2 linked regions of the Struthio camelus genome follow. Each later gene encodes a partner of the first gene's protein in a complex. Links are inferred from orthologs where the notes say so. Each region holds a gene or a part of one and is shown on either strand. Other genes may lie near its edges.

Region 1 (7,666 bases):
ATATGCCCTGTATTAGGGAGAACACACTTCTAGCAATTGAGATTTGATCAGATGTTGACATGATGCTGTTGGAAAAGTCTAGCCTGCTAAAGTTATCATGCAGCTGCAGTGTTTCAAACTGCTCTTAACCATAGGGTTATCAAAGTGGGCAAGTGCAGTCGTTGTTACTACTGAATGAAATTTGAATTTTACAAAGTTAACCGTGCACTACTGATCGCAATAGGCAGATCTTTGCAAGGTTCTGCTTAGCTGAGAATCAGCCTAAAGCATAGCTAGCTTCATCAGGCTCATTTTAAGTTTTGCCTTTGTTAATTTGAACAGAATGTTCAAACACAGACATTTCCCGAGAGACTTTCACAAAGGTTTTGTTATTCCAGTATAGAGATACAGCCCAGAGAAAGCAAGCCTGAGTAAACTGCTGCAACAAAGATATTTACAAGTACTTTGGAGATTATTCACAGTAATATCTTTTTTCTTCTATTCATTACTAACTTGATTAAAAAAAAGGGGGGGGGAGGGAGGGAGGGAGAGAGAGAGAGAAGTAAAACCTCTAATTTACTGTACAGAAATAACAGAAATGGAACCTTTTCAACTAAAAAAACAAAGCCAGAGGTTTATGAAGAGAAAGATAACTAACAGATTTAGGTCACACACATGATATGCTTTTACTGAGCAACTGCCCTGCATGTAATCACTGACTAATTTTCTAAGACTCTCTGATGCAAAATCTGCTAAAATATCCAAGCAACAGATGCTACCTGGCGACTACATGACTCTACATCATAAGCAGGTCTGTGAAATTTCAGATTTGAAAGAAAAAAATAGTATGTTTTACATTTGCTACTACTGCTATTTTAAGCAGCATATAAAATAATTAAATAATTAATAATTGGAATTAAATGAAAAAATAGTAGAATTCTAAAATCTTTGCTCTTCCCAGTCTGTAATAAAAATATTTGCATGCTCATTAGCTTTTGTCACCAGAAACACTCCCAAGTATTTAAGTAGTACCTGTGGCCCATTACCCACAGACAAAACTTTAATATTAATTAATGATGCTTTTAGCTCCAGAGCTGCTGTCAGCCCGCGCTCGGACCTTGGCAAAGTGCCTAGGACAAGTACCACATCTCTTTTTGACACACTGGATCTGAATCATTTAAATTGCTCTTTCCCTACCCGGCAGAAAGGCTATTTAGAAGAGCTTATGGGCACACAGGACTCTGCACTCTCTAAGAAGAAAAAAAAAAAATCCCACCCACAAGCAAACAAAAAACAAACACTTTCACAACATGGGAAAGGGTGAAAAATCCCTTCCTTTGTGCAATGCATAAATACAGGGGAAAGTCCATTTACACCAGCGATCACCAGTCAGGAGAGCATCCCCTCTACTCGAGCCGACAGAAAGCACAACTGCTTTACAGCCCGCTCGCTCCAGCGACTGGGACTGAAGAGCAACAGCCGGGCGCAACAGCAAACCCAGCTAAACCCGGCACAGGATCCGAGTGACAAAAAGACTGTCTCTCAGCCTCTGCCTCTGATGCATGCACCTCCCAGCCCGCTCTCCGCGGCTCTCTCCCTATTTAAAGGCTGATGTGGTGTTTAAATGGAGAGGCGGTGACGTGGGGCTGGAAAGCACCTTCCCATCCAGGCAGAGTCTATATTAGAGAGCGGCAATAGCTCTATATAAACAGGGCAGCCGCAGGGAGGAGGAACACAAGGCGCAGGGAGACAGAAAGGCAGGGGCGGCCATGATGGATCCCAGCGCCACAAACAAGGGGCCAAGCCCGCGCCGGGCCGCCTGGATTCCCGGTTTGTCTCGGCGGTGCGGGGGCGGGCTCGGGGCCGGTTGCGGCGTAGAAAGGGGAAAAGGCAAGAAGCGATCGGTGGGGCTCGGTGGCTACGCAGGTTTATGTGACTGCTTATTGCAAACCTATGTGAATACCAGTACAACAGCAAGCCACCCAAGAAGGTGCAGAAAGCACAAGAAGGTGAAGACCGGGGAGGGGGGGTAAGAGTTTTCTTTCTTAAAATAAATACTTCCTCGCTCGCTGGAAAAAAGTTAAGGGCTTTCGCCTCGTTTAGCCGATCCTGCAGGGCTGGGATAAGTGCTTTTCAACCATCGTCGCCTCGTTATAAAGCAACATAAAATGGCTCCAGCAGAGCCCGGGCGGGTTTCACCTCACAGACACCACAAAACCGAAACCTGGCCCGAGTGCCGCTTCCCCTCTCGCCGGGACGGCAGCGGCGGCAGGCGGCGGCCCCGCGCCTCGCTCCGCTCTCGCCCCCGTCCCGGCGGCTCCCTCCCGCGCCCCCCGCCGCCCCTCCCCTCCCCTCCCGTCCCCACCGGCGGCGGCGCGGCCCCGGCCTCCCCGCGGGGCTCCGCGGCCCGCCTTGGCCGCCCGCGCCCGGCCGCCGCCGCCGCCTCCCCGCGCCCCTCGGCGCCGCCGCCGCCGCCCGCCGCTCCGCTCTCTCCTCCCCGCCGCCGAGGCGGCCGGCGCCGGGCGCCACAAGTGGGCTCCCCGCCGCGCCCCCCGCCGCCCCCGCCGGGCTGCCCCTTCCCGCCGGGGGTGGGGGGGGAAGGGAGAGAGACAGAGAGAGAAAGAGAGACGGGACTGTCCGAGGCGGCGGCGGGCGGGAAGCAGCGCGGGGGAGGGGGCAGCGAGCCCTGCCGGCCCCCGCTGCCTGCGCTGCCCCCGGGCCCCCCTCGCCCCCCGACCCGGTCCTTACCACGGGGTTTGTGTTAGCCGAGCTCGCCATGTCCCGAGCCCCCCGGGACGCCCCCAACCGCGGGGGGAGTCGCCCCTAAAACAATAAACCTGCCCGGCTGCGTCCCCCCAAAATCGCGCGCGTCCCGCCCCGGCTCACGGGCAGCCCCGCGGCCTGGCCCGGCCTCGCTCGCCGGCCCTGGGGCTGCAGCCGCCGCCGCCAGCCGCCCGCTCTGCCCGCTTCGCCCCTTTATATAGCGAGAGCCGAGCAGCTGCGCGAGCGGCCAGGGCGAGAGGGGGACGCGGGCGGGGGGGGGGGGCGGCGAGGCACCGCGAGAGCCTGCGCGAGAGCGCGCCCTTGCGAGCGCGTCACGTGAGGTGCCCGCCCCGCCGCCATGACACTTACTGAGGCGGAAGTCGGTGCGGAAGGTCACGCACCGCCTTCTCGCCACCGCCAGGCGTACCGAGGCGGAAGTCGCCGCGTTGCCGCCTCACCGGCTAGAGGCGGTGGGAGCGAGGCGCCGCCTCTCGCCGCGTGATGTCACCGCGCCAGGCGCTCGCCTGGCCGTGGCTGCTTCTGCCGCCGCCGCCGCGCCGCCCCGCCTCGCCTCAGCGCGTCCGGGAGCAGTGGGCTGCGGCGGGGCGGGGTGGGCCCGGCCCGGGGGGCTGCCGGGTGCCCTCAGGCAGCCGTTACACTAGGAGGCCTGACTTCAACCGAGCTGGCACTTAACTGCTGGTCGTGAGCCGGCAGCCCTTGCCAGCCAGGCACGGCAGAGCTTAAACCACTCCGACTACGTTTGTAGGAGCCCTCTGCTCCCTGATAACCAAACAACAACAGAAATCCCCAGCCTCGCTCTCCCTGCCCCGTAAGGACACACGTCTTAAACTCAGCCTCGCCCGATGGGGGCTCATGCCTTCAGCCACCAGCAGTTACACAAAGCAGCCACGGGCCTAAGGCCTGTTTCTGTCAGCCACAGGCCCCAAAGTGCTTCCAAGCTCCGCAACGCACTCCAGGCTGGTGATAGGAAACCTAGGCTACAGCTTCCCCGGGCAGGGAGAAGGTTAAAATCAAAAAGTCAGCAGGGTCCTCCATCAGGGACTCACTGTGGCCCTCAGACAATGTTGCGTTGGGCAGAACTGCTTCCTTTAGCTGATCCTGATGGAGTCAGTGGCCGCAGGGTCTCCCAACTGCACGAGGAGTTGTCAGAGCCATGCCAGGTGGCTTCTCGTTTCCCCTCTTTATTGCCTCTTCTCCCTTTCCTTATCCCCCTTTTTCATGGCAACCTGTAAGACACATAATGCAGGAAAATCCTTTCAACCTTGAATGCTGTTAAATGGAAATTAGGTTCACTCACCACTGCCATCTTCACTCAGTCCTTTTTAGTGCAAGTTTTGAACCCAACTCATCCTGTAGATTATCACCAATAAGTCACCTGTGTAAGTCTCACTCAGACATAAAGTAATGCTGAATTCTGACTCCTCACACATAGAGCATAGCATGTTACACCTCCTCAGCATGAAGACTGTGCGACTACTTGTGACCTTCAACCTAACGCCCTACCCATTAAGTAGCAAGTCTGAGAACAACCGTCTGGTATCCTTCAGTAGGAGGGAACGTGCTGGCCGATACAAAGACCTTCCTGTCCCATCCCATTCTTCCAAATTCTTCAGTTCTATAGTGATGAATGCTTCCTCTCCCATCTGAAACGCAGACTTTGTATAGGGACATGACAGATTTACAGCGGGCCATCTGATGGACCTACTCTTCATTGCGTGATCTGCTGGAGCCCTGGCAGAAAAATAGCCTGAACGTGAGACTGTTAGCAGAGTTTACAAAGTTTTACCTTCCTCAGCTGTCTGCTCCACCTTTTTGCTGGGCATTTCCACTCCCATGGCAGAAGTGACAGGACTGAAGGGGTGCTACCTCCTCAGCAGCCATAATTCATGATCTAACATTAGCTAAACCATGCATGAACTACAGGGACTGAAATGCTAGTATTCCTTTACTGCCTACTTATCAGAGACATCAAACTCTCTCAGAGAGTTTGTAAATTGGACTTGTAAATTGTCTAATGCTCACAGTCAAAGCCTTGCATTTTCCACAGCTGAAATAACTACACAAATAGTCACTCAAAACTTGAAGAAGAGGTTTTAGCAAAGGTACATTTATTTTCTCACAGCTAGGACAGGCTGAGTTCACACATGGTTAGTTCTCTCACTCGCTCTGTCTCCTGCTCTGCTGAAGTGACAGGCAGTAACTAGTGTGCCACCAGGAATGAATCATATTGCCTTGAAAAGGGGAGGGATACAAGTGGCACTGGAAAGCTACAGTTCCTTTCCTTAGATAGACCTAAGCCTACCCTGGTTTTGAGGGCGGCCCACCGAGCCATTCAAAAATTAACAGGTGGACATGGTAGCAGTAATGGTTCAGTGAGGTGTCATACTGCTTTGTGGAACAGGCACACAGTTCAGTAGACTATGCTCCTAGGTTATCCTGTGTGCATAGCCACAGTTTCCAATGATATCCAGGGAATCTGTGGCACTGCTAACTTCCAAGAGCTTCTAAAAGAACGTTGCTATGAGGAAAATCAAGGCCTCGTAAGAAATGCCCTACTGAGTCGGGTAGCGCTCTGGCTAATCCGGTGGCAGTAAGATTTACTACTTAGGGAGAGCAAGTGAGTTGTTAGCCGCTTTCTGAAGTCTGTTCGCCTTCCTGCTTCGCCAGCATCCACAGCTGTCCTGTTGTACTCATGTTGGTGGGTTCTACTTCATTTAGCAATTCTGTTAGACTAGAGTAACATAAGTGTGTACCTATGGTACAGTAGGAACACTGATAACCTGGATAGCACTAGTATACATAAACTGACAGACAGCATAACCACTAGCATTAGCTATGTTTATCCATTAGCATTCTCTTTTGTTTGCCAGTCAGGAGTGGATCATACTAAGCTTATGTGCTATCCTGTCTTTTTTCTACCAAAGGTTTCTGTCATTGCCAAGTCAGCCTGATTTTGCTGCTCTAATAGTGCAAGTTTCAGTGTTGACTGGACGTTCATGTTATAGCGGCTGTACCATCTAGACGTGAACTCCATAGTGATGCACATTATATTACTTTATACCCAGTATGAAGATGACAACATTTGGGTCCTCTCCTTCCTTCATCGCAAAAAGAGTGCCAAAGATGGAATAGCATAAGGAAAAAGCACAATACTGCCTTAGATCAAAAAACAATCCTTGGCATGCTGAGTGAGGACATACATTACAAGAAGAGTCCCAAGCTCAATCCTAGGTATGATCAACAATCTTTCTAAATCTAAATCATTTCTAATCTAAATGTTTAGGACAAAGACACACAAATCATCTTTTATAGCCAAAGCCATGCACTCAGAGGTGCACAGCCTACTTCAGTGCCCTGAATGATTCTGTTCTGTAAGTGCCATAAGCATCCCTTGCTCTCAGTGGAGCAAGAAAGTGACTTACTACTGCAACATTAGTTTGTTAAGTTAATGTAAATGTTTATGGAAATGTTCTTAGCACCTCTCCTTTGTGGTGCGTCACAAAACTACATCTTTTACAAGAAGGGTTTGGGGTTTTTTTGTCTTTTTTTGTTTTAATTCAGATGTAGGAAGGGGGGAGCCATTTTCATTATGATTTTTGGGTTGATAACACTTCCATCCTAAGGTTCTTTGCAAGTACTAATGGACTGCTACTAATGCATAGCATATCTTTCAAGAAGATATTTTGCAAAAGGAGAACTGATGTAAGAGGGATAAAAAATATTTGCATAAATACTTGCTACTGGCAGGAGCAGACTTGAAATTCAAAGGTGATAAGTATCTGTAATTTCCATGAAAGCTGCGGGCTAGTTCAACTGAAAACAAGAACCACAAGATCGTGATGCTTTCTTTAGTATTAAGTCAAGATAGATTATATTTATGACCTTCAGCTTTTTATTTATCTCTATTTTTTTTTTATTTTTAAATAGAGAGGCTTTTTGGCTCATCTGAAGAAAATACAAAGAAAAAAGTTAAGCTGATGTTCTCTCTCCCAAGAACAGATGATGAATAAGCCTAATCTCATACAACTAGAGGATCACTATCAGATTGCCCTGATTTTTCGGTGAAAACGTTTCTGATCATACAATGAATCACAGAGTACCTTGTATCAGATGTTGCTGACACAGTGCTTTATAATTTCTTAGTTCTGGAAACATCTGATAAACTTGGTAAGTGTAATTATGTAAACAGATTTTCCCCAGGGCTTATTTAGACAAGGAAAACAGAAATTGGCTTTAACTATATTATAGAAGTGCAAAGCTGTAACACAGATTATACAGAACACGCGTTACCACCAGCACATCTTCCAGTTTCATCATCCTTAGGTTTTGTCCACGCTACTGGTCTTTGCTACTGTAGTTGGGCAGGAAAAGTCTTCCACTATGGACATGACAGCAGCATACAGTTTTCAGCCAGTATATTACACTGTCCTACTAAATACAAGCTAAGCCAGCAAACACTTTTTAAAGGCATGTTTCGTGGCATAATGATAATATCAGGAAGGGAGAGAGGCTTTCTACCCCCTTCTTTCCTAACAGTTTCCCAAAAGAATGGGGAGTTACACATCTAACTTCCAACTGCAGCAGCACATATTAAAAAGATAGAAGAGGAGCATAGACCGAACCAAGTCAGTCTAGAAAACTTAACTGGAGAAAAAGATGCTTGAAGTTATGCTCACACATAAATTTAGAGCTTATACATCTAATTCACTCTTTTTGCTTACGCTCACAGTACCAAAAAAGAATGTGACCTTAAATAAAACTTGAAGTTGTTAATGAAGTGTCTCTGGAAAGCAGAAAAAAAGTGGCCAAAGCCCGAATTCAAAACATTGATTCCAGACAGAAATTAATAATGGAGACATAAAAAAGCTTTTCTGGATACAACCAGCACTCGAGAGTTAGAAAA
Region 2 (7,475 bases), on another chromosome or scaffold:
ACAAAGGCGTAAGTGCTCCCAGCCAGCCTCACCTCTCAGGCAACAGAGTCAGATCTAGAAAACACATCCCAAACACTTTAATCAAGAACAACCCAGGCCTGTCTCAGGATGGCTCCTCAGATAAGGTTCCCAGCCCCAATGCAGACAGGTGGCTGTCTCAGTCCAGCTGCCCCTGACTAGGGCTGGGGCTGAGCCTGATTTTGAAGTACAGAAAGACAGGAGGTCAGAAGAGACTACCACCTGACAGGACTGCAGAGCACCCGGCATGGCCCCTGCTTGGCTGTCAGGCACCTCTCTCCGCGTAGAAGGGGGTTGCAAATCCTGGCAAGAGTCAGAAAAGACAAGGGGGGACCATCCCCCTCCTCCACCAGCACCAGAGAGGCCAGGGAGCATGGATGCAGGGTCACAGGCATCCTGTTTACTTGCCAGCAAAATGTCTCTGGGACAGTCCATGGAGGCAAGATAGATGTATCCTCCTCTAGAAGGCCAGCTTCTTCATCAGCAGGTAAACCCTGGAGTCCACTTCAAACCCATGCAGATTGTTTGCATCTCCCTGCAGCCGCATGAGCAGCCCCCCATAGGACACGTAGGCAGAGCTGGGGCAGGAGGAGAGGATTAGTGAGACGGGGGAAACCCACAGGAGATCCTGTCTGACATCCCTGTGCCTCCCCTACTACCCTGGGGCACTGCTCCCCCTCTGGGGACAGACACTCACAGGCGTGTGGCTGCCTCTGTGGACGTTTCATCCCCTTCGATCCTGTACACCTTGCCGTACATCACGTACTCAAACTGGTCTGCCCTGCAATGGGACAACGGGAGCTCAGAGAAGAATCAAAGCTGCATACTTCCCTTTTCCTGGCATCCCCCATCCAAGCACCCTTTGGGAGAAGGTACCACACAGCCTCTCGGCATTTAAGCTCTTTCCTCGCCACCACCTGGCTGCTCTGTGGATCCCAGCAGGCACAGCTTGTGCCACCCACCCACGCCAACTGGATCCCTGGTACCTGGAAGGTCTATCGTCTGTGGGGTTATACTCCCCGTCATCCAGGGTGCCGTCTTCGTACAAGGTGCTGGCAATGACCAGGCGGAATTTGTCTCCTGGGATAAGAGGGCACAGGAGCCGTGAGAACGTGGGTGGGCGCAGCCAGATCAGCATCAGGCTCATGGGGCAAAGCTGGCAGTGCCACAAGCTACTCATTGCAAGTACCACATGATGCAGGCCACATACAGGTGAGCAAGCCAGTCCCAGCTCCATACAGCAGGCACGAGCTGGAGTATGGGAGCTGGGCACAGAGCACTTCTCATGAGATCCTCCATTGTTCACCCAAGGGCACCGCTCTCGACACCAGGAACACACATCTCAACGTGCAACAGCACAAGGGCCTGCCCTCCACGAGGCCCAGAGTGAGAGATGCCAAGCAGCACCCTCCCAGGCAGTGAGAAGAGCTCAGCATGATCCCTCCCCCATTTCCCCCCTCTCTCCATCTGAGACTGGTTCCAGGTTCCTTGTGACCTTTCAGCCTGGCTTTTGGGACATCTATAGCAGATCTGAGTAGGTAAAGGCAAAGGACTGCTCCAGAGGGTTTGGCACAAGCCCCACCCCTGTGTTCAGGCCTCCAAGAGGATTGTGGGGAGCGAGGAAAGATCATACCAGGCCCTTTGTCTCCTCCAGTTCCCCAGTCGTGCATCACCACCACGGAGGAGACCAGAGCCACAAGGGTACCACAGATGACATTTTCACTGGACGTAACAACAGATCTCCATACAGTGTCCCAGAGGGTGAGGCTGAGCTCTGGACAAGTACCTGAGACCCTATAGCACTAACTCCAGCCTTCCTCACTATGGCAAGACTCTGTCTTCAACCACAGGAACTCATCTCAGAAGTTCTCTTTAAGGCTTAGTCCCTAGCAACCGATGCAATTTCACCGCAGAGCGTATATGGGGAACAGGGCACAACAGAACCCAAATGAATATCATAGTGAGGTGAGACAGAATCCAGGTCACGCCAGCAGAGCAAAAGTGCCCAGCACCACTCACCTTCTCTGATCTGGGGACAGCAGAGGGGTCTAGGAAAGCCTGAGATCAACCTTGCTCCTCTGTGCACCAGTGCGTGCCTTCCCCCACCCCGGGCCGACACCAGCTCACTCCCGGCGCATTCTGTGCTAGCAGCCCGAGAGCTCACCGAGGTCCACAGGGTAGATCTGGATGTTCACGTCCAGGATGAGGTCCATCTTGAAGGACTCGCTCTCACAGTGCAGGCGGGACACTGTGGAGAGCAGCAGAGTCAGGAGCAAGGACACAAAAGACCGCACAGGCTGGGTGGGTGAAGGGTCCCAAGACTGCGCCATCCTCCCACCAACCAAGCATGAGCTATTTGTGGGAGCACAGGGCTTGGGGCTGGTCCAAGAGCCTGGGGCAGACACAGGTGTGTGTAGGAAGAGGAATGGGAGATGAGGCTGTGTGCATGTAGATGGAGCACACCAGGAGGTAGAGCAGCCCACGGTGTCGGGGAGGAAGGGGGCAGTCCCAGGCTGGGGGTGAGGGCCCAGGGCACACCGGGGTGAAGGGCGGACAACGCGCCTTGGGTGGGAAGGGCAGAAAAGGAGATGGGGCAGTCGCAAGCTAGGTGTTTGTGTGAGATGGGGGCACACTGAGGAGAGCAGCCTCGGGCTGCGGAGGGGGAAGGGGAAGCAGATGTAGCACACTGAGGGAGCAGTCCTGGGCTGGAGGAGGGAAACGGGACAGGTGGGCGGGGGGGGCCGAGGGGACAACGGGGCCCGAAGGGGGAGCAGGGGGACCCGCAGGGGGAGCAGTCCGAGGCTGGGGAGGGGGAGACGAGGCACAGCGGGGGGGCGGCGGCAGGCGCACGGCCAGGGAGGCGGCGGCGGCGGCCATGCCGGGCGCCTTCGAGAAGGTTCCCCGGAGGGCCGGCGGCGGCGGCCCGGGCGCGGAGCCCCGCTCACCGCGGTCGAACTTCTTGCCCTCGGGGTCGATGTCCTTCACGTCGAAGATGTCCTCAAAGAGGATCCCGGCCATGGCGCCGCCGCCTCCGCCGCGCGCGGCAGCAGGCCGGAAGTAGCCTCGGGAAGGGGGCGGGGCGGCGCTGGCGCCTGCGCACTGGCGGGCCCGGCCGGCCGCGGGTGTCCACGCGGTCCTAGCGCCCCTCCCGCGGTCTCTGGGGGCCCCCCTCGGGCTCTTCAGGGACCCCCCCCCCACACACACACCCCGCCGCTCCGCGCTCCCCGGCCGTGTGCAGCGCCGAGCACCCCGCGGGCCCCGCAGCCCCTCAACGGCCCGGCGTTACGCTGGGCACCTCCGCCGACTGGGCCCCCGGCTGGGGCAGGCGGAAAGGGGGCACTGCAGTTGGGAGTGCGTTGCAATTAGGGGGTATTGCAATTAGGGGGGTACCTTGCAACTCGGGGGTGCATTGCAATTTGGGGTACATTACAACTGGGAGTATTGCAGTTGAGGGTGCATTGCGGTTGGGAGTGCGTTGCAATTGCGGTGGCATTACAACTGGGGTGCACTGCAGTTAGGGGGTGCCTTGCAATTGGGGGTGCATGGCAAAGGAGGACAGTGCAAAGAGAGGGGTGCATTGCAGCGAGGTGGGGGCACTGTGACGAGGGGAGCGCACTGCAGTGGTTGGGGGTGCATTGCAGCAGGGAGTGGATTGCAATGGGGGGTGCTTTGCCATGCGGGGTACCTTGCAATGGGGGTTGCATTACAAGGGGGGGGCGCATTGCAATGGGGAGGTGCGTTGCAGTGGGTGGGGGGGTGCATTGCCGGGGGGGGGTGCTGGCTGCCGGCCTCGGGGGGGCCCCGGGACAAGCTCCCTGGCGCGTTGCTGCCCACCCCGAGACTGGCGCAGGAGCCGGGCAGGGTGGGGGGCAGGCACGGGAGCCGACCCCCTTTTGGGGGGGCCTAGACCCCTTTGGGGGGGGGGGGGCTGGCGCAGCCAGCCGGATGCCGGCAGGGGGAGCTGCGAGGCCGCGGATGGCAGCGGCCGGGGCCGCGCACGCCGCCGCCGCCCCGAGCGAGCGGCGCCGGGGCCGGGGGGCCCCGCAGCGGGCTCGCCGCCCCGATCCCCCTCCCCACCGCGGCGGCGTCGCGAGGAGGCGTTTGCCCTGGGCCCCGCACGTGCCGCCGGGCCAGCGGCGGCCACTGGTGTCATGAGTTTGGCGGACTCGGCTGGCCACGGCGAGGGGCCGGGCACGGAGCGGGCGGGAGGCTCGGGACGCTGCCGAGGCTGCCCCCCCCGCCACGGCAAGCGGTGCCACCGTGGTGCCAGGCAGGCAGGCAGGACAGGGTGGCCTCTTGCCCCCTGCAGGCGCTGCCGCCACACCAGGGGCCACCATCTAACCAGGGTGTGTGACCCGCCGTGCTCCGGCCCCCCGTGGGCCACCAGGCATGGGTGCCGTGGGGCTGGCGGTGGCACCGGGGCCGCGGTCCCAGCTGGCGCGGCGGCGCTAGACGTCGGGTGGGGGCCGGGGGTGAGGACAGGGCCAACGGCTGTCACCCGGTGGCCTGCAGATGAACCGGAACGGCAGGAGGAGGAGGAGAAGGAGGAGAGCGGGAGTCTGACAGCGCCGCGCGGGATTTCGCGCCTCGGGGCGCCGCGGGGTGCCCAAGCGCCTGGCGTCTGCTCAGGGAGCCGCGAACGCTGGGTCGAAAGTTCAGCCGCGCTGGCGCACACGCGGGGTCGGCCCTGTCCCCCCCCCCCCCCCCGGCCCCCAAATGCCACGTGCCGCCTGGCTTTAACCTATTCTTCCCCGGCTCGGCCGAGACTCGTGCCAGCCCATGCCACCCCGTGGCCCCATGCTGGGGCTTTGCCGAAGTTTGGGGAGCGGGTGCCAGGCTGGAGGTGGCACCGAGCGGTGCTGTGCGGCACAGCGGTGCCCCTCCGCGGGTCGGGAGATGGGGGCTTGGTGTCTGGGCCAGGCGTCCCCCTGGTGTGGGGACGCTGGAAGGGAAGGCGGCATGGTGCCGTGTGTGGAGCACATGTCACCAGCCGGCCTGGGCACTGTGGATCTCCAGCGCACGGCTAAGGCGGCTGGAGAGAGGTCTCTCCAGAGCATGGCCCGTGGTGTCCGGAGACGAGACATCTCCAGTGCTTGGCCATGGTGTCTGGAGGTGAGACGTCTCCAGAGCGTGGCCCATAGTGTCTGGAGCCGAGATGTCTCCAGCACATGGCATGTGGTGTTTGGAGCCAAGGCATCTCTGGAGCATGGCACTCGGTGTTTGGAGCCAAGGCATCTCCAGGGCTTGACCATGGTGCTTGGAGCCGAGACATCTCCAGCACACGGCGCACGGTGCTTGGAGCCGAGACGTTTCTGGCACGTGACCCACGGTGTCTGGAGCTGAGTTGGTACATAGCCCATGTTGCCTGGAGCGGGGATGTCTCCAGGGCACGGCCCCGGGTGCTATCCGGAGCTGAGGTGTCTCCGCATGGGTGCTGTGATGTCTGGAGCGGAGACACCTCTGGCACCCCGGCCGGGCTGGCTGGGTCTGGCCTCTCTGGCGCGTGCCCCGTGCCCGGAGCCGGCCGTCTGCGGCGCAGCGGGGGGCCGGACCCGGCGACGGCACTGCGGGCACGCAGGTGGGGACGGCGCGGCAGCGGCGTACGCTGGCGCGCGGGGGCCGGCGGCCGATCGGGGGGGCAGCCGGGCGGTTCACGGCGGGGTCGCCCCGCGGCGGTGCTGCCGAGCGCGGGAACAGCCGCTCGGCTTAACGCACTGCGACGTCACCTCCAATCTCCGTTCCTTCAAATCATCGTCTCAGCGGCCGGGTCTCCTCCCCCCGCCACCCCCCTGCCGCCCCGCGCTCCCAGTCTGCCCCGCCGTGCCCCCCAGCATGGCAAGGGTGCCGTCCGGGGGGCTGGCAGCGACGTTGCTGTGCCCCAGCCCGCCCAGGCAGGCTGGCACGGTACTCACGGCTGTGCCAGGGCTGTGTTTTTTGGGGAGGGGGCCTGGTGTGGCGCTGGGATGCTCCCCGTGCTCGGGGGTGCCTGCTAGGCGAGGACAGGGGCATGGCTGTGTCCCCCCCCTTTGGGTGCTCTTGGGTTGGGCCCACTGCGAGGTGACAGGAGGGGACAGGGTTCACCCCGGGTTTATTGCACCCAGCTGCCCCTGTCCGCCCATCGCTGAGACCTGGCACATTCGGTGCAGGTCGGCAGGGCTCAGGACAGGCGGCGTGGGCTGTGTTTGCCAGCTGGCAAAGCAGGCGCCCGAGGGACGCTGCTGCCCACGACCTCCGCCAGCTGGAGGCAGGCAGGATGCCGGGGAGCGGAGGCAGAGGGACGGCAGCCCGGACGCCTGGGCCCCGCTGCCAGCTCCGGCTGCTTCCCTGCCCTAGCGGGACGAGGGTACATCCGAGGGGAGCTGCGGCGCGGGGCGAAGGTGGGCCTGGCCCGGCTCGTGCGCTGGTGGGGCAGCGGGGCCAGCCAGGCGCCAAGCCGCCCGCGGAGGCCAGCTGGCGAGGGGAGGATGGCGCCAGCTTTCCGGGTGCCCCCCAGATGCCGCGGTGCCGGGGCGGCAGCGGGGACCTGGCGCAGCCCCTCGCCCCCCCGGGGACCGCAGCCGCCTCCTGCCAAGCCCTCCCTGGCTTGGCCGGTGCCCAGAGCTGTAAATCAAACCTGCCCTTGCCCCCCTGCTTGAGGCCGCCGGTGGGGTGGGGGGGGGACCGGGGGGGGTGTTGGCACAGGCACCCCGGCATCCGGCTCGGGGCTCCTGGCCCTCCGCGGGTGCCGGCCGCCTCGCTGACCCCGTGCCAGCGCGGTGGGCACCCGCGCGCCGTGCCGCAGGTGGCCGTCGGGGAGCCGCGGGGGGCCGCGTGGGCTGCGGGGCCACGGGCAGCGCCGCTCTGGGGGGGCTCCGGCCGCGCTGGGGGGGCTCCGGCGCCAGGCCCGGGCTTGGTGCCGGCAGATGTCAGTGTAAGGCCGAGGTGGTGGGAAACACGGCGCAGGCTGGTGTTTCCGTGCTCTGCCCGGGGCGCCCCGCTGACCCGGCTCGGCCCCGGCGCCCCGGCCCCGGCGCCCCTCCGGGCCCAGGCCGCCCTCGCTGCCCCCGGCACACGGTGCCGCTGCGCCGGCGGGGTTTGCCAGGGGGGCAGGAGCGCGGCGCGGGAGCACCCGCTTGCCAGCCCGGTGCCTGGTGTCTCCCCCTTGTCTGGGATTAAGCAAACCCCGCTGCGAGGGCGGCTGGGGTGGGAGTGTGGCGGGGAGGGGGGGAAGCACCCCGCCGGTGCCCCCAAAGCAGGGCACAGATGGGCACCGGCTCTCCCCCCACCTTGGGGCACCCCCAAACACCCCGGCACCGGAGGGGACCCATCGGCGGGGGGTAACCCCCCTCCGGCTGCCGGTGGCCCGGCCCGTCGCGGGCCGGCGTGGTGGCTGGCAGCCCGGTGCCCGCGGTGCCAGGCTCCCTCGGGAGCCCGGGGGGCCCGGAGCCCCCTCCGCTCGTTAGCTGCTCGCCTGTTAT

The links. Proteins that work in one complex are often made in the same cells at the same time.
Region 2: GTF2A1 (region 1) and POLR2H share a complex: the UniProt entries of both Homo sapiens proteins name them as parts of the TBP-based Pol II pre-initiation complex. The link is inferred for Struthio camelus from reciprocal best matches to the Homo sapiens genes GTF2A1 and POLR2H.

Annotation. Positions count from the first base shown.
Region 1 is NC_090946.1:60,988,145-60,995,810, forward strand, and holds the start of GTF2A1 (transcription initiation factor IIA subunit 1), read right to left. Parts: upstream 3,009-7,666; 5' UTR 2,758-3,008; coding exon 2,728-2,757; intron 1,810-2,727; exon of another isoform or gene 1-1,809. UniProt on the Homo sapiens protein: TFIIA is a component of the transcription machinery of RNA polymerase II and plays an important role in transcriptional activation. TFIIA in a complex with TBP mediates transcriptional activity.
Region 2 is NC_090950.1:22,750,516-22,757,990, forward strand, and holds POLR2H (DNA-directed RNA polymerases I, II, and III subunit RPABC3), read right to left. Parts: upstream 3,133-7,475; 5' UTR 3,037-3,132; coding exon 2,964-3,036; intron 2,267-2,963; coding exon 2,183-2,266; intron 1,099-2,182; coding exon 1,005-1,098; intron 800-1,004; coding exon 716-799; intron 597-715; coding exon 479-596; 3' UTR 56-478; downstream 1-55. UniProt on the Homo sapiens protein: DNA-dependent RNA polymerase catalyzes the transcription of DNA into RNA using the four ribonucleoside triphosphates as substrates.